2 linked regions of the Caenorhabditis elegans genome follow. The protein of the gene in region 2 purifies or fractionates together with the protein of the main gene of each other region. This does not show direct contact. Each region holds a gene or a part of one and is shown on either strand. Other genes may lie near its edges. The genes, in order: eif-2Bbeta and eif-2alpha.

Region 1 (10,661 bases), 9.8 Mb from region 2:
GTCTTAATAATTTCAGCCAATTTGCCCCTCTTTTTTTTGGAAATTTCAATCGTTTTAAAATTTGCATTATACTGAACAGTTTTTAGCGATTTTTGTGCATTTTTTTGTATGATTTGGCGTATTGTGTACTATTGAACCTACTATAACACAAAAAAGAAACAACTCCAAAATTCCAAAAAAAAGTAATTTTGAACATCTTTCCACAAGAACTAGAGGTTTTTTAATCGGGTATTGTATTTTCAGAGCGTTCAGATAGTTTTTCATGTTTTTCAGAAAATTCGAAAAAGTCTAGAAATTGCTCAGATTTTGCATGAAAATATACTCTTATCGTTCGACTCTGCAAAAAAAAAATTAAAATCCAAATTTCCAAAAATCTTAATAAATTCATCTCCAAAAAAATTGAATTTTTCCAATATTTAATTTAAAAAAATTTTTAATAAAAAAACTCCCACTTTGTTCAACTTTTGGCAGTCGAGAATTCAGAAGTGTCTGAAAAATGTGGTAATTAAAAAAAACGATATATTTCTTTTGAGAGAGCCAATAAGTTTTATTTTAAAAAATCAATAAGTATTACAAAACAAAAAATCTATGAATTATTATAAGATTTATGAAATTTCAGAAGAAAATCAATAAATTTTGGAAAAATCCATAAAGTTCATGGTAAAGAATTATTTTAAAAATCGATAAATTATTGTAGAAATTTACGATTTCCGGAATTCGCATGTGCCCCTCCCCCTCTTACAGACGGTGCTCCATCCTTCCTATCGAAACGACTCTCTCCAATTCCAGCAAGAGATTGGTAGTTTGGATCGAAGGTTCCTATAATATATTGATTATCTTATCAATATCTTGCTTCTAAATAACTAACCAGCCAGTGGAGGTTTTGGTGCTGCATCAGCGGGAGGCAGAAGCTACAGGAGCTGCTAAATCTGCAACAGGTGTTCCAGTTTCAAATCTTTTCTTCCATTCGAAACACCTCCAGTCTACTTACTATTAGTATTTTTCTGAATGTGGAAACATTTGAAAGTGAGGGTTCCAGGTAGGCATGCGTAATACCTACCTACAACCTTTATATCTTCACTCGGGCAGTAGGCAGTAAGAACTGTGAGCCTTTACCAGCAAAATTGAGCTCCTTTTTTTAAAAATATTTTATGCCTTGTTCTTGCCAGCATTCTGAACTTTAACTAGTTTCAAAACAAATATAATACTTCAAATAGAACTTCAAATAAAACACTTTATTGACCAGTTAAAATATCCAGAAGAGTTGACAAACGGGCATTTTAAATATGAATAAGGCTAGCATGACATCGTCACAATTGATAGAAAATCCGATATTGGAAATTGAATAGGTATTGTAATTCATCGTAGCAGCGGGAAAAATGTGTGACAATTGAAAGAACTGTTGAAACTGAAAACATTTTAAATATGATAAAGCTGCGTCGAAAAATTGATATTACCATGTACTGAGAGCATACTGATCACCGAGGCCATTGACATCAAAACACGTCATTTCTAGACATGAAGAATAGCTGTTTTGTGAACCTCGACCAGAACTGAAAACAATTGTTATACCTTTTAAGTCTTGGCATGCCTACCTCAGGTGCTTGCTTACACACGAACACTACTTTATCTGCCTCATATTTCTCCACGACTCGTCTGTTGGTCTCCGTCAGAAGATCCGCCAAATGAGTATCTTTCGCGTTCTCAATAATCACTCGATAAAGCTCCTGAATATACCATGTGTCTTTGGTTTCATCTTTGAATGATAGAAAGCCAGGGGACGTTGAGAAAGAAACCAATAAATCCGCTTGCGACGACGAGGTTTGGTGTGACTGAAATGAGAAGAATATTGAGGAGATTTCGCCCTCAAACTTACTGGGAATTTAGATTTCATAAACTGGAAGAACTTTGGAATACGATCAAAAAAGTTGTCGATGAATCCATCACAGCGGACTGCTCTTTGCAAAAAGAAAGCAAATCCCCCAAGTTTTCCAAAAAACATTCCAAAAATTTTAATTCCAATTATTCAATTTTAGAACTCTTATTTTGAAAGTCTAAACAAATTCAAAAGTTAAAATTTCCAACGCTTTCAAAGAAATGCGCTGAATTTCTTGTGTTTTTCAAAGCCCGCTCACATACCAGAGAATCCAGTGGCGTTTGAGGCGGGGTCTTGAGTGAGTGGCGATGAAGAGGCTGTGGGGCCCGGATCAGCAATTGACGGTGTCGGTGGAGCCTGGGGAGACGGAACATCTGTAATATTTCTTTTGTCCTTTTCAAAATTTTTAAAAAATTAAAAATAAATTACACCTGAAATTGACTTTAATTTCAAGAATTTGCAAAAAGAAAGCTCTATTAATCCTCCACGTTTTCCAAAAAAAAAAATTCCAAAAATCTATAAAGATTCTAGAAAATTCCTAAACTTTTCAAATTTTTCAGACAATTATTCATTTTAAAACTCTAATTTTGTAATTCTAAACAAATTTCAAAATTAAATCTCTAAAATTTCCAAAATTTTCAAAGAAATTCGCTGAATTTTTTGGGTTTCTCAAAGCCGGCTCACATACCGTTTGATTCGAATTCAAATTCATCAACTGCTCCTCTTCCTTCCTCATCCTCATCTGATTCGCTCAACTTCTCCTCCTCATCCGATTCGACCTTATCTGATTGCTCCAGAGCTGCTGTAAAGAATTACTGTTATTTTGTGTTACTAGGTTCATACCCTTATACGTACCTTTTTTTCTCGCATATCGGTTTCGATTTTGTTCCGCCAATTTCTGCGATTGGGTTCTCCGTGGGCGATCGAAGCCGTCTGAAACATGATTGCTACATATAATTTAAAAAATACTTGACACTTTTTTGTAAAGATGTCAAAAACTTTTTGTGGTGGTTCCAAAAAATGGCTGAAGTTAGCTAAAATAACAAGTTCACTGTCAGAAAAAAACTTACGCTCTTCTACCCACTTTCTTTCTCTGGCTTTGTTCTTCGTTGCTTCCTCTTCGAATTTCTCCTTTGCTCCCTGGCGCCGAGTGGGCCCGCCTGAAAAATTTCTTAAAATAAAAAAATATACCGAAATACTTTTTCTATTGTAAATTTCTGAGCAAATGAGAACTTTTTGGATATAAAAGTTCCGCATTTTTTCACGAAAATCCTGAGGTTCTTAAAAACTAATTATAAATCTCAATTTGAATAATCTAAATTGACGTTTGAAATGAAAAAAAAATGACAAACCTCCTGCGGATTTTCGAGGTGCCTCCTCAAGGTTATCATATTCCTGAAAATATAACTTTAGCTTTTGAAATACTAGAAAAAGGGAAGTAAAGCATTTATTTCCAAAAAATTAATTTTAATCAAACAAAAGTAAGAACATAAGAGTCAGAACTGATTCGGGAATCCCTCCAAGGTTGGCGATGAGGTTCACGTGTCCAGGGTTGAGTTGTTCAAATTGGCGTGGCAAGTTCATGGCGTGAATGTTGTTGTTGTCAGACTCATTTGCTCTTTGTATGCATCGCATGAGAGTTCACGGCGGAATGGTTCACGTGGTTGTTTTTTGTTAGCATTGACTGGCTGTTGTTCCTTGAGCAATGTGCTGGATAAGCCTCGTGTTGTTCGCGTCCGTTATAGAGTGTATAATTATGCAATATTTATAAAAGTCGTGATCGGAGGAGATTCTTCTCCGTCGTATTCGCAACAAAACTCACTCTTTCTCAACTGCAGCTAGACCACTCGATACTGTCTTATTCTTCTTCTTCTTTCCACTTCAAAATTCTCCAAGTTTATTGTTCTTATTTTTTATTCCCAATTTCAAAAGGATCCGAAGTTTTGATAGATTTTCAATTTATTTTGAACACAAAACCCTGAATTCACGTGGTATCAGGTTGCCCCATCGCTCCACTGCACGCGAAATAGCGGGAAAATATTTTTGAAAACTTGTGACGTCACACCGCATTTCGATTAATTGTTTATAAATTTAAGCGTCGATTTCTGTGACTTTTTTTCATAATTTTTCAAAAATTGTATTTTGTTGTATTTTGCTTCAATTTCTCCACTTAACTTGCTAATTTTTCCGAATTTCGGTGAAATATCAATTTTATAAATTATAAGAAAAAAATTTAATGAAAATCGACTCTTAAATTGCAAACAAAAAATTAATCGAAATGCGCTGTGACGTCACAAATTTTCAAAAAATCGTTTCCCGCCTTTTGTGTGCAGTGGAGCGATGGGACAGCCTGACACCACGTGTGGATTCTCCCACTCTAAGAATCTGTAAATTTGAGGAAAGTCACATCCAAATTATAAAATAATTTACTGAAAATTGAGAGGCGCAAAACAAACAAAAAGAAACAATAATTTGACGAAAAAAGACCCAGAAAAAATGGAGAAAAACGGGGGGTACAAGTTATGAGGCTAGAAGAAAACGATATAAAATTAATAATCAGCAATATCCTGTGAATGATAATAATCTTCCTTGAGACGATTCACATGAGACGGAATAACGCATGAAGTATTCGAGACAAAAAGGGTAACCAAATCAGATTGAAGACAATCAAATGCCGGATGAAGACAGTCTACAAGGCCTGCTGATTTGGCTGATAGATCGAATGGAAGGGAATTCGAGCGGAATGTGTGCAGGGAATCCGGATTTGTCATGAAGAATGGACACAGTTTGTAGAATGGAGCGAGCACGTAGACTGAAAAAATTGGAAAATTATTATTTTCCATTTTTTTCGTTCATAATACTCAAAATAGTCTCAAAGTTAGGAAAAAAAAAGAAAATCGAAAAAAATAAGTGATTTTTCAATTTTTGTTGAATTCCTTCCAAAATGAGAATGCTTTTTTTTTAATGGCCAGAATATGCACAGAAAATTTAAAATTTCTAAAACTCGATTTTTTTAGAAATTTAAATTGTTTTAAAAAAATTTTAAAATTTAAATTTTAAAATTTTTTTTAATTTAAAATTTTCTTTAATTTTTTTGAAATTGTTTATTTTATTTTAGAAATTTAAATTTTTTCTTTGAACTTTTTTTTTTAATTTTTTGAAATTTAAAATTTAAATTTTTTCTTTAAATTTTATTTTTTTCTAGAAATTTAAATTTTCTTTAATTTTTTAAAATTTAAATTTAAATTTAAATTTTATTTTTTATTTTTTAATTTAAATTTAATTTTTGTTGAAAAATGCCACTAATAGTTTCGAAAAAATTATAAAATTTAAGTTGAAAATTGATTTCTAGCTGATTTTCTCGAAAAATTCGCTTTATTAAATTTTTTCCGTTGATTTTTTTTTTCGGAAAAAAGGTAATTTTAAGCACTTTTTGAATAGAAAAGTCTTCAGAAAACGATTTTAAATTTTTTTTAGAAAAAAAAACTGATTTTTAACCGATTTTTTAGTCCTTTTTTAGAAAAACGGGCATTTTAAGCACCTGGAACACAATGCCTCTTGGCAAGAAGTGCAATTTGATGTCCACCAGCAGGTACAAGACATGATCCATCAGGGAAATAAGCAGCAGCGACTAGAACAACTTTCGAGGCTTCAGGCATCTTCGAGGCGACTTCATAGAGCTCAATTGCAGTTGCAAAGTCAGGAGTTGATTCAATATGTTCTTCTTCATCAACTACATCAATTACACGATGTTTTCGGCCTGATTTGACGGCATGTGATAGGAAATTGTGCATTGTTTGAGATGAACGAAGTGAATGAACTAGTACAACATCATTATTGAATAAAAGTTCCGTTGATTGAGATGCAATACATTCACGAGATGATTCGATTTCCGTTACTAGCTGAAAATGAAAAAATTGCATTAAAAATGTGTAGTTTTTGAATAAAAATTATAATTTTCCCTTTTTTTTGATATTAATATCATCGAAATCTACATTTTTTATGAGAAAAATTAGTTGAAAATTCTAAATTTTAAAAAAAAAAATCGATTTTTTTGAGCAGAAATTTTCATTTTTTAGCGACTTTTTTCTGGTTTCCAGTTCCCAGCATTACCTCCTTAATGGAAGCCTGAAGATCTTTTTTAATCTTCTTCATATCAGCTGTTTTCAGCTTTTTAATCGTCTCATCGTCATCTCTCCACAGCGTATACAGTGGCTCCGGCTCTCCGCCGCCTTTCTTCTGAAGAACTTCGTCTCGAGCCAATTTCGTGATCATTAAGCCGATATTAATAATAATGAGCTCCGATCGCTCGGCTCCGTGAAGCTTTTTGCAGTGATTTGCCAACGAAACTTGCAAATCGTTCATTGTCTTTGGATTTTCGCGGAAAATGATTTTTCTGATCAAATTCACTGTCGCAATTGCTATGGAGGAAGAGGAATCACGTGGAAATCTGGAAAATGAAGGAATAATTGAGTTTTTTCATCAGAAAACTCACTTTTTTCGTAAAGCAAAAATAAATGCTCGCTTCAGGTCTTCAATTTCATTGTCCGAGCTCATTTTGAATCTGTACGGGTTTAAATTTTATTTCTAATGTTTAAAATAAAAGAAATAAATTGAAAAAAAAGCAAGTTTTAACTTTAAAAATACACTTTTTGCCAAAAAAATGCAAAAATGTGTTGAAATTATCCTAATGCAAACGCGCTCCACGACTAACTTTCTCCAGTGTACTTCTCTCGAATCAATTTTTGTACTCCTCGTGGACATTCTTTATTTTAAATTTTTATCCATTTCTCTGTAGATTTTACAGTAATTCTTCCAAGATTTTTTTGTGAACAATGAATAGAAAACGCTCAAAAGAAGACGTGGGTGGGTTTAATGGTTAGTAAAACTTGTGAAAGCTTCGAAAAATCGATAAAATACCAGAAAATGCTTCAGATCTCCCAGCAAAGCGTCCTGGAACCAGTCAAAACTCGATACGTGCGGCACTTGAAGAGAAATTAGAAAGATCTCCGATAGGTGATTCAATTTTTAAATTTTTACTTGAGAAAGTAGAAAAATAATAATTTTTTTCATTTCAGAAGACCTAGAATTACAACTGGAACAGCCTGAAATTAATGTGGAAGAGGTCGGAAGAATCATTGCCGATGGAATAATTGAAAAAACACTGGATGACGAAAAACTGAAGGAGCTAACACTAAAATTCGCAAAAAATGTGCCAACTATGGCGAATATTAGCATTTGGAATCTGTCCGAAGAGCTGAGCACTGGAACAATTGATAGTAGACTTGTAGTCATTGGAAATGCATTTCTGGTACGAAATTCCAAGAAATTATCTGAATTTTCACCTAAAAAACAAAAAAAACTGGTTTTTTTTCAGTGGAATTTGCTCAAAACTTCAATGTCAAGCATTCGCGAGAAATTTGAAAATTATAAATTCAAAATTCACACAATGAGTGCCACGTCATCATCTCTACAGTCCATAGACTTCTCATCTTCACGTATCCGAGCCGGCGAGCATTGTATCCAGGAAACTGAGATTTTCCGGAAAATGGATCTTTTAGAAATCTATAATTCTGTGGTTTTTCGAAAAAGTGGAGATTTGAACGGGAAAAGCAAGCAGATTATCAAGAATTACTTTGCTGTGGTTGGAAAAATCAAAAATGCATTAAAAAAAAAAAAATGTTTAAAAAGTCGATTTTTTCCAGGCATGCCAGCCAAAATGCGCAATTTGGCACTACAGCCTCAGACAAAGCGGTACTTCGCACAAAAAATGGCTTCAGGACATTCCACCGCATGTTGTGCACACTTTGCTCCGTAAGAGCTCAGAAAAAAGCTCAAAAACCTCGAATTTCATTGGGAAAAACGCTCAAAAAATTCGAAAAAACGTCTAAATTTAGCGAAAATCTCAGATTCTGATTTTTTAAGAAGGCTAAGGCTTAGGCTAGACTTAGACTTTAGGCTCAGGCTTATCCCTAGGCTTAGGCTTAGGCTTTCGGCTTCTTCTTCTTCTTCTTTCTTAAAGAGAGGAAAAAAATCCCAGAAACTTCAATAATTCAGAAAAAAGAAAAAATACGGCGAAAAATGAGACAAGCCGGACAAAAAAAACAATTATGAATTTTTCTGAATTTTGTTAATTTTTGTAGTACATTACCACTTTTTTACTTAAAAAGTGCCAAAAATGTGCAAAATTTAGCTGAAATTAGGCATTTTTTGTAATTTTTCCGTCAAAAAATGTCCAAAAATCACCAATTTTGCTCTTTTTCAGGTCCATGTTTCGTATTTTTTTCAACTTTCAACCGGAAAAGTGCAAGAAATCAGTTTTCAATCGCTGAAACAATGAAAAATTGCAGATTTTAGCTGGAATTTGGCGAAATTTTAAGATTTTTGAGCTATTTTCTCCTTCTTTAAATCCAAAATCCACTAAAAATCTATTTTCCAGATTTCCTGATCTGCCTGGCCGGACTTGGAGCCCCGGAGCTCGACCAAACTTTCGAAGAAGCTACCGATTCTAGCGAGTAAGCCTGAAACCTGAAACCAGTTAAAAATTAATTGTCAATTTTTTTCCAGCTACGTGGAGTCTCTTGGCGACACAAATGGAGCCCGTGAGGTGGCATTTGAGACTCTAAAGTCGACCCGTGAACAACTTTGCTCGAAATTCCGACAATGTGTGACTGATGCTTTGTAGGACCCCCGATTTCTTCCTAAATTTTACGTTTAAAAATCGATTTTTTTAGGAATGAAGCCCGAGAAATGCCGTATAACACTGTCACAAGAGAGCTTATGGCGCCTCCGGTAGGGTTTTATCGATTTTTGCTGTGATTTTTTGAGCACTAAAAATCCGATTTTCAGCGCGGAAAACCAGTGGATATGCATCATTGTGTGACGTGGCGCCAGTACGAAAGCCTCATCAGACGATGCGATACGAATCCGTCGAAAGAGAATTTAGAGGCGAAACAAGACTTGGAGTGAGCAAATTTCCCATTTTTATTCGAATAAAAAATATATTTTCAGCTTCAAACTCATGTTCACAATCTACCAGCCACGTGCCGACGATGAGGAAGCGGAAATTGATGTTAAGAATTGATTTTTTTTTGTGTTTTTCGAATAAATGTTATGATTTTAAAATGTTGTTTTAGAATTATTGAACAATTTCAGGGCAGGCAAAAAGAGCATGTAAATTTCAGAAAACTGACCTTTAAAACTGATAAAACTTTGTCATACAGTTAGCTCGTTGCAATCTGCTCTCAATTTATAAAAAAAAAAGATTTTCTTCCACAAAAATGCGTTTTTTAACTTTTTTAAATGATTATTTTTCCCAGTATATTATAGTAATTGAGAAACGCAATAAAAATGTTCCCCGAGGTACTGTAGTCGGCGGAGTACGCAATACACTTCGCGGAGTGTATTGCGTAGCGTGCGCAAGACATCACGCGCAAACAATTTTTTGAAATGTTTTTTTGTCGGAAAACCAGTTTTTATCGCAATTTTCGTCGAAAATATTATTTTTTCCAGCTAATTTTCGGTTGAAACGAGCAAAATGTCTGCTGCCCGCTCTCGTCGCAATGGCAAATCCAAGGAAATGGAGGATTTGATTGAAAAGTTTGTTTCTTCCTTTGACTCTATTTAAAAATTGTAAATTTTCCAGGAAACGGATCCAAAAGACAATTCTCTTGCGGAATAGCAAAATCGCCACCAGAGCATTCATTCTGTCCCTTTATCTCCAAAAAATTCCAGTTTTGAAGGCATACGACACGTTTTGTGGGGTTCTCGGAGACGATTTGATGGAATATCGGGAAATTTGATTTCTGGTACTATCAAATTGGAAATGGAGATGCTAATTTGACCTGTAAAATGAGGTTTTTCAATTTTAAAGTGATTATTTCCATATAATAACTTTCAGCTACAACCCAAAAAGTCCGATTTTCACCGATTTTCCCGACACGGTTGTCCATACAGTTTTGGAAAAGCTATTGCCAGCGGAAAGGTGATTATTTTAGCCTTATTATTACAGAAATAATTTAAAAATTGTAGAATGGTGGTTCGAAATGTGTCCAAGAAGCTGAGAAATCACGTGGTGTCAATCTGTCTCATTGCGACTCATTGCGAGAAAATGCGGAAAAAATTTTCAAAAAATCGTGACGTCACAGAGGCGAGAGTTCATTAGAGCAGCTTTGCTGCATGAAATTTAGGTACCGATTTTGCAATATTTTTCTGCTTTTTATCGCATTTTTAATAGTTTTCAGATGATTTTTTCGAATTTAATTGCATCATTATGTTTAAATCGTATTTTACTTCATAAAATCGACCCAATTTTTCGTTTTTTTTCGCTTAATTTTCAGAATTATCGAGAGGAAACGGATTTTTGGGCGAATGAAGCCGTTTCATATATGTTTTCGATGAAAACGATAATGTTAATAAGCTTTACATGTACTTTTCGGTTTTATACTTTCTTTATCCGTCTTTTCCTTATCTGAGCAACGTTTTTTTCAGGGTTTTGTCCTTTTCCGGGCCGCAGTGAGCACGAACACATTGGAGAGTTCGAGATCGTCCAGAGAGAGTGAGAATTTCAAGTAGCTCTCACAGGTTTGTGTTGAAATCGAATTGCAAAGTGAAAAGTACAAATTTTGCAGGCCACACAATGCATGGAAGCCCGAGAATCACACCAATCACAACCGGAACAACAAGGCTCACCGTAATGGGATCACGAAGCCGAAGAAGCACATCTTCCTCTCCATAGAAGGAAGTCGACGCCAAGTTCATCAAGAACCTCCGTTTCGAGGTTAGA
Region 2 (13,085 bases):
ATAAATGCAAATTGTTTATTAAAAAATTATTGAAAATGGGAAACACTGTGGTAAAACCCATTTTCAATAACTTTTTTTTAATGAACAACTTGCATTCATCTTTCATTTTTCTCTTTTTTTTCCGATGAAAATACAAGAAAATCAGTGAAATACTGAGAAAAAATGAAATATATTAGTAAAAACAATGCAAGCGCGCTCCATCGAACACATAATTTTGGCGGAAATTCAAATAAATAGAAATCATGTGAAAACTGAGATTTTTCCAATTTTCAAAAAATCCAATAAATTTAGAAAATTTTTTTTCGAATTTTTTAAACCATGTTTTAAAGCAATTTCCCCCCAGCCAGTGGCACAAGTCTTCCAATAATTCCGACTTACCGTGCTCAGCGAACGAGCTCGTTCGACGTGTTGCTCGATGTGCTCATCCTGTGTGTGATGGTTCTTGGTGAGCAGAAGCATTCGGCCAACTAAATCAGTTGTAGAGACACCACACGTTCGCTTACATTCTCTGTATCGTTGGTGATCCTTCACCTCTTGATACGTGTCTTTTCCGTCGGCGGTTAGAGTTATGTCGTCTGGAAAATTGATCTACTTTTTTTACACGTGGTGCTGTCAGAGTGTCTCATTTCGGCTTGATCTTCTGGTTGATCTACAAAAAATGCGGCAGAGTTTTCAACTGATTTCGCATGGTTAAGAGCGTGTGCTGACGTCACATTGCTTTTGGGCGAAAAATTCCCGGATTTTTTTGTAGATCAAACCGTGATTGGACTTTAATTAATATTTTTACCTCCGTGAACACAAAAATCACAATCATACTTGTCCAGAGTTTCGACTGTTGTGGCGTATGGCGCATTTTCCACAACTTCATCGACCCATTTAATGCCGGCAACCATTCGATATCGCTCTTGTTCATTGAATACTGGAGGTCCTTTATGTAGTCGAATCTGGAATTTTTTTTTTGAGTTAAACTACAAATTTTCCCCTGATTCCGAATATCGATGTGAAAAAATTCCAAAAATTCAAAAAAAAAATTCCGTGATTTTATATTTAAGCTTGAAATCGCCGAATTTCATTTGTGCCCCCGAATCACTTTTTAAATTCGCGCCCAAAGAACTTCGCATTGGAGCGCGCTTTGATTTTCTTCATTTAAATATTTCATTTATTTTTCGCCGAATTCAGTTTTATTAAAAACCAGTTTTATTCATTTTTGTCGAGTTTTTATCGGTTTTTTCGACAAAAATTAATGAAACTGGTTTTAAAAAACTGAATTCGGCGAAAAATAAATAAAATATTTATTTAAATTAAGAAAATCAAAGCGCGCTCCAATGCGAATTTCTTTGGGCGCGCATTTGAAAAAAGTGATTCGGGAAAAACAAATGAAATTCGGCGATTTCAAGCTTAAATATAAAATCGTGGGAATTTTTTTTGAATTTTAATTTTTTTCACATCGATATTCGGAATTAGGGGAAAATTTGGGGTCAATTAAAAATATTTCCCAGATTTCGGTACTCCACCTTTAAAGGTCGGAAAAAATTGCAATAAAAAAAAATATTACTTAACGTTTTTTTTTCTATTTCAATTGGAAATTAGAAACGAATATGTTTTTTTAGTCACTAAAAATGTTTTTTTTTTGCTAAATTTCGATCTGAAATTTAAAAATTTTTAATGATTACCACAATATACCCTAACTTACGATATATTTAGTGAAAAATATTGTAAAATATTCTTTTTTTTTCCATGCAACCCCAAATTATAACGAAAATATCCATTCAATCAGAATATTTACCAGATGCCAACTATTTCGGGTCTCGACGCGATCTCGAAAAAAATGAAAAAAAACTGCAAAATAGCTAAAAGTACAGTACTCCTTAAAGGGTCACACACGCGTGTTCCTTTAAAATTTTTGTCAAGTCACGAAATTTCTTTTTAATTCGTGGCTTTTAATAAGGAAAATTGAATAATTGAATTATTTAAACAATATTTTTTACCTGAACTATCGTAATTTAAAGTGAAAATTAATTTAAATAATTCACAGAAGTTGATTTTTAAAATAATTTATAGCCACGTGGTGCCAGGGGTCCCTGTCCCATTACGGTTTGATCTACAAAAAATGCGGGAATTTTTCTCCCATTAAAATGTGACGTCAGCACGTTCTTAACCATACGAAATGAGTTAAGAACTCTGCCGCATTTTTTGTAGATCAGCGTAGATCAAGTGTGTTATAGGGAAAAATTTCGCAATTTACGAGTTACGACTTAAAAACTGCTAATATTTTAACAAAAATTTGCATATTCCCATCTTCTTTTTAGGGAGAAAAAAATATTGAAAACCTCTTCATCATTATGTACTCCAACAATTAACTTCTGTCCAAACTGCTTAGCCTGCCGTAATTGATTTGCATGGCCGAAATGCACCATGTCATAACTGGAAAATTAATTCATTTTAAGGCTCAATTCACATGGTGTCAAAGTGTCTCATTTCGGCGTGATCTACGTAGAGATCTACAAAAAATGCGGGAAAAGAGACGCAGACTTTTCAACAAAAATTGGTTAAGAACGTGCTGACGTCACATTTTTTTGGAAAAAAAATCCCACATTTTTTGTAGATCAAACCGAAAAGAGACACTTTGACACCACGTGTCGATTCCAGCCAAAAACCAACCATCCATCAGCCCAAACTCGATTTCCTTTGGGCAGTCCATCTGGTGCTAATCCGCTCATTTTTGAACTGAAATTTTAAAAATAATTTTTTTTTTTAATTTAAGATCAAAGTTCAAATTGTTGCAGAAGAAAAAAAAATTTAAAATCACGTTAATAATATTTTCTCACTTAAAATTTTAAAGGTTGAGTACCGAAATCTGTGAAATATTTTTTATATTACTCCAAATTTTCCCCTAATTCCGAATATCTATGTGAAAAAATTCAAAAAAAATTCCCTGATATTATATTTTAGCTTGAAATCGTAGAATTTCATTTGTCCCCCGCATCACTTTTTTTAAAATTCGCGCCCAAACAAATTCGCATTGGAGCGCGCTTTGATTTTCTTCATTTAAATATTTTATTTATTTTCCGCCGAATTCAGTTTAAACCAGTTTTATTCATTTTTGTCGAAAAAAATCGATAAAAGCTCGACAAAAATGAATGAAACTGGTTTTCAAAAAACTGCATTCGGCGAAAAATAAATAAAATATTTAAATGAAGAAAATCAAAGCGCGCTCCAATGCGAATTTCTTTGGGCGCGAATTTGAAAAAAAGTGATGCTAGTACAAGCGATTTCAAGCTTAAATATAAAATCAGGGAAATTTTTTTGAATTTTTTCACATAGATATTCGAAATCAGGGGAAAATTTGGAGTCAATTAAAAATAAATTAAAACAATGTAGTCAACGGACATTGAAGAGTGACCCCGACATCACCCGATTAAATAGCAATCGGAATGAAAAAATGCGGAAAAAAAAAGAAAAAAATTGTGACGTTATCAGTTCGAAAAGGACGTCGAACCCGGAGCAGACCGCCTGTCATGGAAAAAATATTTAGTCGAGTTTTTTCATTTTCAATGACGAATTGTGGAGGAGTTTCTCACAAAAAATTCAAAAATTGCACTTCCGGGATTTTTCTACTCAGTAAGCCTAGTGGGGAAATTGCTTTAAAACATGCCCATAGGGTCACAATGACCGAATATCACGATAAAAAAATTCAAAAAATTTTCTAGATTTTATATGATTTTTTTTTGAAAATTGAAAAATCTCAGTTTTTGCCTAATTCCTATTTGAATTACCGCCAATTGAAATTGTTCGATGGAGCGCACTTGCATTATTTTTATTTATTTATTTTATTTTTCTCATTATTTCACTGATTTTATTCGTTTTTTGGGGGTTTTTAATCGGAAAAATAGAGAAAAATGCAAATTGGTCATTAAAAAATTACTGAAAATGGGTAAAACTGTGTTTCGACGCCAAAAATCCTGAAAATAGCATATTCCACAGTTTTACTCATTTTCAGTTACTTTTTAATAAATCTTATAAGCATTTACCTTGCATTTTTCTCTCTTTTTCCGATAAAAATACACAAATAATGAAGAAAATCAGTGAAATAATGAGAAAAATAAAATAAATAGTGCAAGCGCGCTCCATCGAACGAACCCAATTGGCGGTAATTCAAATAGAAATTAGGGGAAAACTGAGATTTTTCAATTTTCAAAAAATCATATAAAATTTAGAAATTTTTTTTGAATTTTTTAATCATGATATTCGGCCATTGTGAAGCAATTTTCCCACTGGGCGCACTCCACCTTAAAAAAATTTCATTGAAAATCAAAAATGTTGCCAATTTTTTTAATAAAATCCTTCCGAAATCTGAAAGTTGGTAATTTTATAGAAAGTTTTAATTATTTTTCTATTTTTCGCGTCTAGAAACTTCAAGAAAACAACACAAAATGACGTTTGGTCACACCACAAAACACATTTTGTTTGTTTCCGATGGAAACAAAAATCGTAATTTTTCCATTTTCCCCTTACACAAAAGAAAGGCAAATTTTCGAAAATTTGATAAGAAACTTGAGATAATCAATAAAGGTTCAAAAAATATTCCGGCGTTGAAACAATGGCAGTTGCCCTTCACCACGTGATCAGGTGACCTATGCGCACGCGCGCGGGTCTCCGAGGACCACCTCTTATCGATCATTTCTGGCGGGGGGAGAATGGTCAAGTATTGAACACAGAACGTCTGCTTCGTAACTGCTGGAAAAAGAAGCCTGCGATGAAAAACCAGCTCACTGTTCATAACGAATTGGGAGCCCACAAAAATGGAAAAAAAACGGGGGATGGGAGACAATAAATAGAAGGTCAAAGGTGGAGTATCGAAACCTGAGATTTTGCATTTTTAGACCCAAAATACTACCGAAAACTACCTAATGAGGCGTTTTGAAAATTTCTCAAAAAAAGGTTATGGCGGTTCAAAGTTCTGGGAAAAATAGCCCATTTTCAGCTAAAATCGAAATTTTTGCCAACTTCTCGGTGTCGTAGAGTCTGGAACTTAAGTTTTATTTAATTATCACTTTTTAAACAATATTTTGGTCTTTTATTAGACATTTATTCGTTAATGTAAGCACATTTTCGACCAGTGGGGGACAAATAAAAGTTACATTTTTGTGCCCCAATGATCGAAAAATCAACTAATCAACGTCTAATAAAAGACCAAAATATTGTTTAAAAAGTGATAATTAAATAAAAATTAAGTTCGAAACACTGAGACACCGAGAAGTTGGCAAAATTTCGATTTTAGCTGAAAAGGGGTATTTTTTCCGAAACTTTGAACCGCCATAACTTTTTTTTGTAAAAAATTTTCAGAACGTCTCATTACAAAATTCGGTAGTTTTGGGTCATTTTAGGTCTAAAAAAGCAAAGTCTAAAATATCGGTACTCCACATTTAAAGGGGGAAAGGAACAAAACAACAGAACAGATGAAGAGAAATGATAGTGCCAAAATTGAATAATACTATAATAATAGTCCAGAAAGAATCGGAGCCAATTACACCAATAAAAGCAAAAAAAAAACAATGGGAATTTTCAATTTTCAATTTTCAAATAATTAATCATCCTCCTCATCACTGTCTTCATCGTCGCCGGCCTTCTTTCGGTTATCTCTGCTGGCTTCTTCCGCGTCGACTTGTTGATCCAAACCCTTTGGAGCCATGAGTCCATCCTGAAAGAAAAATTTTTTTTCGTTTTTCTAGCTTTCAAGGTGGAGTACCGAAATTTGAGGCTTTGTTTTTTAGACCCAAAATGATCCAAAACTACCAAATTCCGTAATGAGACGTTCTGAAAATTTTTCAAAAAAAAGTTATGGCCGCTCAAAGTTTTGGAAACATGTTATATTTTCAGCTAAAATCTCAAATTTTGGCAACTTCTCGATGTCGCAGCGGTTGGAACTTAATTTTTATTTGATTGTCGTTTTTTAATGCATGTTTTGGCATTTTATTTCGTGTTTTTTCGTTGACTGAGATTCTTTATGGTCGATGCGGGCACAAATACGATAAAAGTTTGAGCCCGCATCGACCGAAAAAGCATCTCAATTAACGAAACAACACGAGATAAAATGCCAAAACATGCATTAAAAAACGACAATCAAATAAAAATTAAGTTCCAACCGCTGCGACATCGAGAAGTTGCCAAAATTTGAGATTTTAGCTAAAAATATAACATTTTTCCAAAACTTTGAGCGGCCATAACTTTTTTTTGAGAGATTTTCAGAGCGTCTCATTACGAAATTTGGTAGTTTTTGGCCATTTTTGGTCTAAAAAGTTTTTCGTGATAATTTTACACGAATTGGCAAGTAGAGCTTACACGTGATGCGAATCATTGATAAAACATCAATTTCTGTTTTTACTGCACTGAAATTCCGGCACAATAGCTCTCGTAAATCGACACAAAAGTAATTAAATCACTCCGCGGAAAAATGGAATTTGGATGATTCTGATTTTGAATTTGATTTTAAAAAAAAACCGTTAACCACATTCAAAACAAGAATCGAGTTATTCAAATTTCTTTTTTCCGCGGAGTGACTTAATTACTTTTGTGTCGATTTACGAGAGCTATTGTGCCAGTACAGTAAAAACAGAAATTGATGTATTTATCAATTATTAGTATCACGTGTAAGCTCTACTTGCCAATTCATGTATTATAAAATCATCACGAAAAAATGCTTGAAATCGTCTTAAAAACTCCAAAACTCACATCATCCTCATCCTCTTCCTCGTCCTCGTCTTCCTCTGATTCCTCCTCATCCTCATCTCCATCACCCTTCTTCTTCTCATCATCAATATCCGTCACAATTCTCGCCTCCTCCTTGATCGTGAATTTTCCCTTGAATCCTTCAATCGCATTTTTGATAGTATCCAGAATGCTGTTGACGGCCTCAATTCCACCTTCTCTGTCCAATGTTTGTGTGGTGACGACGAAGTGGGGAGCGGCGATGAGATTGATCTGAATTAGACAATTATTTTTTAAATATTTAAAAAAAAACAATTTCGCACTGCGCACATGGGCGTGGTTTATTGGAGGCGGGGATTCCGGCCGCAACCCTGCGGCGCGCTTTTTTCTCGCTTTTTGGGTGCGGTAATTTTCCTTTTTTTTCGTTTTTTTTGTCCAAAATTTCATGATTTCGATCGATTTTGGCCGTTTTTTTTTCGAATAAAGAAGTGTTCAGCTATTTTTTAAATGAAAAATAACCAAGTTTTCACATTTTTTAACCGAAAAAAAATCACCCAAATCTTGCACATTATTTGAAATTCCCCTGTTAATTTATCTTAATATTGTGAATTATTGTCATTTTTAAAATGTCCTTCTTGATAATTTGTATATTTAAATGAAGAGAAAGCGAGTTTTATCGTATTTTCAGAAAGAGAGACAAAAAAGCATTTTTTCGGGTAAAAACTGTGTTTAAAAAATAGCTGAAAACTCTCTTTCTGAAAAATATTATAAAACTCGCTTTCTCTTCATATAAATATACAACAAGTTATAAAAGAAGACATTGAAAAATGACAATAATTCACAATATTAAAAGAAATTAACCGGAGAATTTTTCGGGTAAAAACTGTACTATGAAAACTTGGTTTTTTTCTTCGAAAAAACGGACAAAATCGAGCGACATCGTGAAATTTTAAACAAAAAACGCAAAAAGCGAGAAAAAAGCGCGCCCATGTGTAAAATCTATAAAATGAAACCTTAATCGGGAAGGTTCCATTTGAGCAGTTCTTTCCAGCAATAAGTGCAGCCTTCACAGCATCAATACCATCATAATCGAAGCAGGAGACTTCAATATCAGCGCGAATTTTAACCGCCTGAGGGGTGAGCTTCTTCCTAATGTCCTCCAAGAGTTTCTCCTTAATATCTGCACTAATATCACACTCATCCAAGATCGTCGGTTCGGTGATCGCCTTCTTGAATGCGTCATATGAAGCTGCTTTCCGTTTCTCTTTGCGATCAAAGTGCCACGCGGTCTTTTGGTACAAATCCTCCAACTCTTCGTCGGTAGTGTATCCGACTTGCTCGGCCACGTGTCTCAAAATGCTGTTCACCATTTTGGCGTTCGCGAATCGCTCGTCGCACTGTTTCAAGTCTTTCTGGTAGACACGACGCTTCGACAGATCAATGTAACCTTTGTCCTTGTCGACACGGATCACGACGACGCTTTCACTTCGGCCGACACGGATTAGCTTGTTCACTGAACGGATACGACGACGGGAGAGCTCGGAGAGCAGGATCATACCCTCTGAAAAATGATTTAATTTAAAGGAGGACGAACGGTTCGGACGATTTTGAACGTATAGACTCAAAATGAGCTCAAACGAACGAATTTCGTAATGAAACTGCTCAAAAATGTTTCAAAAATTTTTTTATGGCGGTTCAAAATTTTGAAAAATTGCACTGATTTTAGCTAAAATCACGAATTTTTCCCTTTTTTCCGTGCCAAATCCTTCCTAAGTTAGCTTTTTTGGAATCATCGTCTTTTATTACATATATTGGTAGTTTATCTCATTTAATTTTACCGATTAAAGTATATTTAAAGCCGATAGGTAACCAAAAATCAACGAAATTAAATGAGATAAACTACCAATATATGTAATAAAAGACGATAATTCCAAAAAAGCTAACTTAGGAAGGATTTGACACGGAAAAAAGGGGAAAATTCGTGATTTTAGCTAAAATCATTGTAATTTTTCAAAATTTTGAACCGCCATAAAAATTTTTTGAAACATTTTTGAGCAGTTTCATTACGAAATTCGTTCATTTGAGCTCATTTTGGGTCTATACGTTCAAAATCGTCCGAACCGTTAGTCCTCTTTTAATTCGATTTTTGTTTTAAAATGATGATTTTAAAAACCTTTATCATTGTACTCGGAAAGCCGGACGTAGGCACCCATATCGGCAATCATTTTAACATTGGCGACAACGGTCTCCTCGACATCGGGGAATTGATTCTCGTAGAAACGGCATTTCATTAACGCCATCTGAAATGAGAAGAAGAAAAGTTTAGCATTAAAAAAAAAGAAAATTGAAAAGAAATAAGAAAATTATAAATAATGATTTTGGGAAATCAACCATTGAAAATTAATAAATTCCCAATTTCAAATTCATTATATCGCGAACAAATTATTCATTAGACGAAAATTTCCAACAAAAACAAGCAAAAAAAATGAAAAAGCTACGATACCTACACAAAATGAATGAAGGAAATGACCTACTCTAAACAGAACAAAAAAAACGAAATTTAAAAAGTATTTAATTGAGAATTCGGGCATGATTATTCTCGAAAGTTCAACAGAGTGAAAAAGGCTCTTTGAAAAGGGGAAAATGAGTGGAATTCGTCTAAAACACGTAACCGGAGATATTTAGGATTGAAGGTTGAGAAGGGTTTGTTGGTTTCCTGGAAGATAGGTGACATTCTTGTTCTTGGCCATACGCTCGGCGATCTCTTCGGCGGCCTCAATCTTTCTGAGCTCGACAAGTCCGTCTCCGGCAGAGGCAAAGGCCTTGGCAAGAAGCTTTGCGGCTTGAGCATCTCCTTCGGCGGTGGTAACGGCGGCGATCTTCATTTGTTCAGCCTTCTCGACAAGGTATCTCGCTTTTTCGGCTTCTTGCTGTGCGACTTGCTTCATTTCGACGGCTTCAGTGAATTCACGTCCAAAGTTCAAGTGGGTCTGAAAAATCATGGAAATAGCTTAAACTTCATAAATCTGGTGAACTTACAATTGCAATATCATCAAGGAGAAGTCCGAACTGTGCAGCACGTTCACGAAGAGCCACGGACGCCCGTTGGGAGACAACCTCACGCTGGGTGATCATCTCATGAGCATCGAATTGCGCCTGGAATTAATTTTAACAAATTTTAAATCAAAATCAGTTCGCAATATTTAAATTAAAATTTTTTCTCACCACAACAGCCTTCAAAACTTCATTTGTAATGGAAGGAAGGACTCTTTCTGCGTAGTCCAAACCAATGTTCAGGTAGATGTTTGGAAGACGATCGGGGCTTGGTCTGTGAAGGATACGGAGAGTAATGTTGACGTTTTGCAAGTCTTTACTTCCAGTGATGGTGGTGACGGCTCTCGGCGTTGACCGGATATCAAAAATGATTGGTTTTTGTACCCATGGAATTAAGAAATGAGTTCCTTCTCCGACGACCTCGTTTTTCACTCCACTGAATCGGTCGAAGATGACTGCTCGTTGACCTCCATCAACATTGTAAAGAGCAGTTTGTGCGATTCCTCCAGCGATGGAAAGGCCCACTCCGACAGTTCCCAAGCGACCCAAAAGCTTCTGTGCAGATGCAGCCATTCTGGTAAATGGAAGTTAATAACTTGGACAAAAAATGGGAAATAGAAAGAGAAATGAACGAGCTATGATGCAAAATTGATAATAATCCTAATTATCACGAAATTAGATGGATGAATTAAATGGTGTCAGGAAATCTAAATTGAAAAAGTGAGTTTAGTCGAGTAAAATTAGAAAACAAAAAATACTTCAAAAATAATTACGGAATGTTATAAATAATGCAACACAAAGTATTTTTCGACTTTCTCCACGAATAAATCGATAATAACAGTGAGCCTGAATCAAAAAGTACAAAATATCAATAACTTATTTATTTGCAAAATTATTTAATTAAATTTTAACTAACTTTTCTGCTTTTTTAGCTTAAAAAATCGATTTAAATGATGAAATAAGTTGCGCAAAAAATAAAAGAGTTTAAAGGGAGGCTGCATTTCATCGAGAGGGTCTCGCCACGAAATGCGCATCAAACGAGTGTGACCGTACCTCAGATTTTGGGAGACACACTCACTGAATTTTTGCGAATATTTTAGGATTTCTTTTTGTTCTCAATGGTTTTTCGCTAGGTTTTAATGAAAAAAGTGTGTGATCTGGTCGATTTTAATTATCTTTAAAGACAAAATTTGTATTTTTGTAGTAATTTTATCCGAGAATATCGGGAACCTTTCATTGAATATTTTTCTCTGATTTTTCTTCTCCATTTTCGATCGAAATTTGCCGCTTTTACACATTCAAATTGTTTACTTTACAGGGTATGGCTCACGCGTTGAGAAAGACAAGAAAGCTCCGTGGTCACGTCTCGCACGGACACGGACGTATTGGAAAGCACAGGAAGCATCCTGGAGGTCGCGGTAACGCCGGAGGTCAACATCACCACCGTATCAACCGTGACAAGTACCATCCTGGATACTTCGGAAAGGTATTATTTTTAAGGTACTTTTTTAAAAGTTCGTTGGAAATTATCCGCTCCTATCTTGGCGCTTCCATTGGTGAATATGGCTGTGTATGTTATAGGAGAGATAGTAGTGCCTTTTGGCTTTCGGATCTCCTTCGGTGTTTGTCTTGCATCTCGACAAATGTCATCCTCTGGGTTCGAGACAATTAAATCTAATATGTTCTTTATTATCTGACACTCAAACTTTAATTTTCAGGTTGGAATGAGAGTGTTCCATCTCAACAAGAACCAACACTACTGCCCAACCGTCAACGTCGAGCGTTTGTGGTCTCTTGTCCCACAGGAGGTTCGCGACAAGGCCACCGGAGGCAAATCCCCAGTCATTGACTGCACCAAGCTTGGATACTTCAAGGTGTGTTTTGAAACAAGTCAAACAAGAATTTCTCTCGTCTTGGCGCTTCCACTGGTGAATGTGGTTGTGTATGTTACGAGAGACAAAGTAGCGCCTAACGGCTTTCGGATCTCCTTCGGTGTTTGTCTTGAATTTCGACAAATGTCATCCTCTGGGTTCGAGACAATTATCTTTCATGACTATGAAACGTAAATTTAACTGTTCTTATTTTCAGGTTCTCGGAAAAGGACTCCTCCCAGAGACTCCACTCATCGTTAAAGCCAGATTCTTCTCCCACGAGGCTGAGCAAAAGATCAAGAAGGCCGGAGGAGCTTGTGTTTTGGTGGCTTAAGCCATGTTGTTACCTTGTATTAAAACAATGTTTCAAGTTGAATTTGTTCTTGTTGTTGAATTCTATTCACATGGTCTTTACCCATGCTTCATATCTTATTGTTTTCTTACCCTGGTCACTTTGTGGCATTAATACTTTCTTTCAGCGTTCTATCAAACGTTTGTTCTCTTTGGAGCTAAGGCAAACCGCGCAACTTACGATTGAAGAATGGCTTCGAACCAAGAACTGGCTTGCGTCTACGCTGCTCTCATCCTTCAAGATGACGAGGTCGCCATCACCGGCGAGAAGATCGCTACCCTTCTCAAGGCCGCCAACGTCGAGTTCGAGCCATACTGGCCAGGACTCTTCGCCAAGGCTCTCGAGGGAGTTGATGTGAAGGTAAGGATTTCTCATAAGTATATTCAAGTTTCACCCCGATTGTTTTCAGAACCTCATCACTTCTGTCTCTTCCGGAGCCGGATCTGGACCAGCTCCAGCCGCCGCCGCTGCTGCTCCAGCTGCTGGAGGAGCCGCCCCAGCTGCCGAGACCAAGAAGAAGGAGGAGCCAAAGGAGGAATCCGATGACGACATGGGCTTCGGTCTCTTCGACTAAAGATCTTGTTATTTGTTTTCAATAAATCTGTTAACAACACCAAGAAAGTGTTTATGGCTTCAAAAGTGAAAAAAGGAGGTTATTTTGGCACTACTCGATTGTTCAGAACGTTTTGAATCCTTTGTATCCGGCTATATTGTCGACCAGGCGCTTTTGGTGGCAAGAAATAGTTGTCTTTCAGAATGATAGTTGGCTCTTCTTTAACACTGTTAGATTCCGGCGAAACAGGCTTCGTGCTTGTTTGTGAGATTCTGCAAAAACTGAAACAATCGGATTTCTCAAGTAAATTAATGTGACTCACTTTACAGGATCTCGTGGAGTTCCTGTTTCAGGCGTGCTCTGAATGATATCTGATGGTATTGTCGAGCTGGCAAGCGACATCGGCGGACTTTCTTCAATATGAACCGACGCGGACTTCGGATCCGATGGAGGATCAGGCGGGATCGGTGGTTGCACAGGTGGTTGGTTCCGAAGTTCCAGGCCAGCCACGTCGGCTTTCAAAGCATCGTGCTCCACTTTCATTTGC

The links.
Region 1: the proteins of eif-2alpha (region 2) and eif-2Bbeta fractionate together in Caenorhabditis elegans (co-fractionation; one large-scale study listed by BioGRID). This does not show direct contact.

Annotation. Positions count from the first base shown.
Region 1 is NC_003279.8:11,887,288-11,897,948, forward strand, and holds eif-2Bbeta (Translation initiation factor eIF2B subunit beta), read right to left. Parts: upstream 6,441-10,661; 5' UTR 6,434-6,440; coding exon 6,372-6,433; intron 6,327-6,371; coding exon 5,990-6,326; intron 5,779-5,989; coding exon 5,418-5,778; intron 4,689-5,417; coding exon 4,426-4,688; 3' UTR 4,289-4,425; downstream 1-4,288. Other genes in the region: Non-catalytic caspase homolog csp-3, read right to left, coding at 1,497-1,553, 1,596-1,832, 1,877-2,002; Y47H9C.8 (NACHT_N domain-containing protein), read left to right, coding at 6,712-6,754, 6,812-6,892, 6,955-7,187, 7,254-7,520, 7,582-7,690, 8,316-8,391, 8,444-8,557, 8,611-8,668 and 2 more; Y47H9C.12 (Mos1 transposase HTH domain-containing protein), read left to right, coding at 9,414-9,475, 9,522-9,678.
Region 2 is NC_003279.8:2,068,603-2,081,687, reverse strand, and holds eif-2alpha (Eukaryotic translation initiation factor 2 subunit 1), read right to left. Parts: upstream 9,009-13,085; 5' UTR 9,000-9,008; coding exon 8,882-8,999; intron 8,270-8,881; coding exon 7,722-8,269; intron 6,983-7,721; exon of another isoform or gene 6,982-6,982; coding exon 6,733-6,981; intron 5,702-6,732; coding exon 5,588-5,701; 3' UTR 4,763-5,587; downstream 1-4,762. Other genes in the region: pcyt-2.1 (ethanolamine-phosphate cytidylyltransferase), read right to left, coding at 379-575, 788-944, 2,331-2,424, 2,662-2,720; phb-1 (Mitochondrial prohibitin complex protein 1), read right to left, coding at 9,390-9,698, 9,748-9,864, 9,934-10,335; rpl-27A (Large ribosomal subunit protein uL15), read left to right, coding at 11,084-11,248, 11,481-11,636, 11,851-11,967; rplp-1 (Large ribosomal subunit protein P1), read left to right, coding at 12,175-12,345, 12,395-12,559; arl-13 (ADP-ribosylation factor-like protein 13B), read right to left, coding at 12,639-12,819, 12,861-13,085.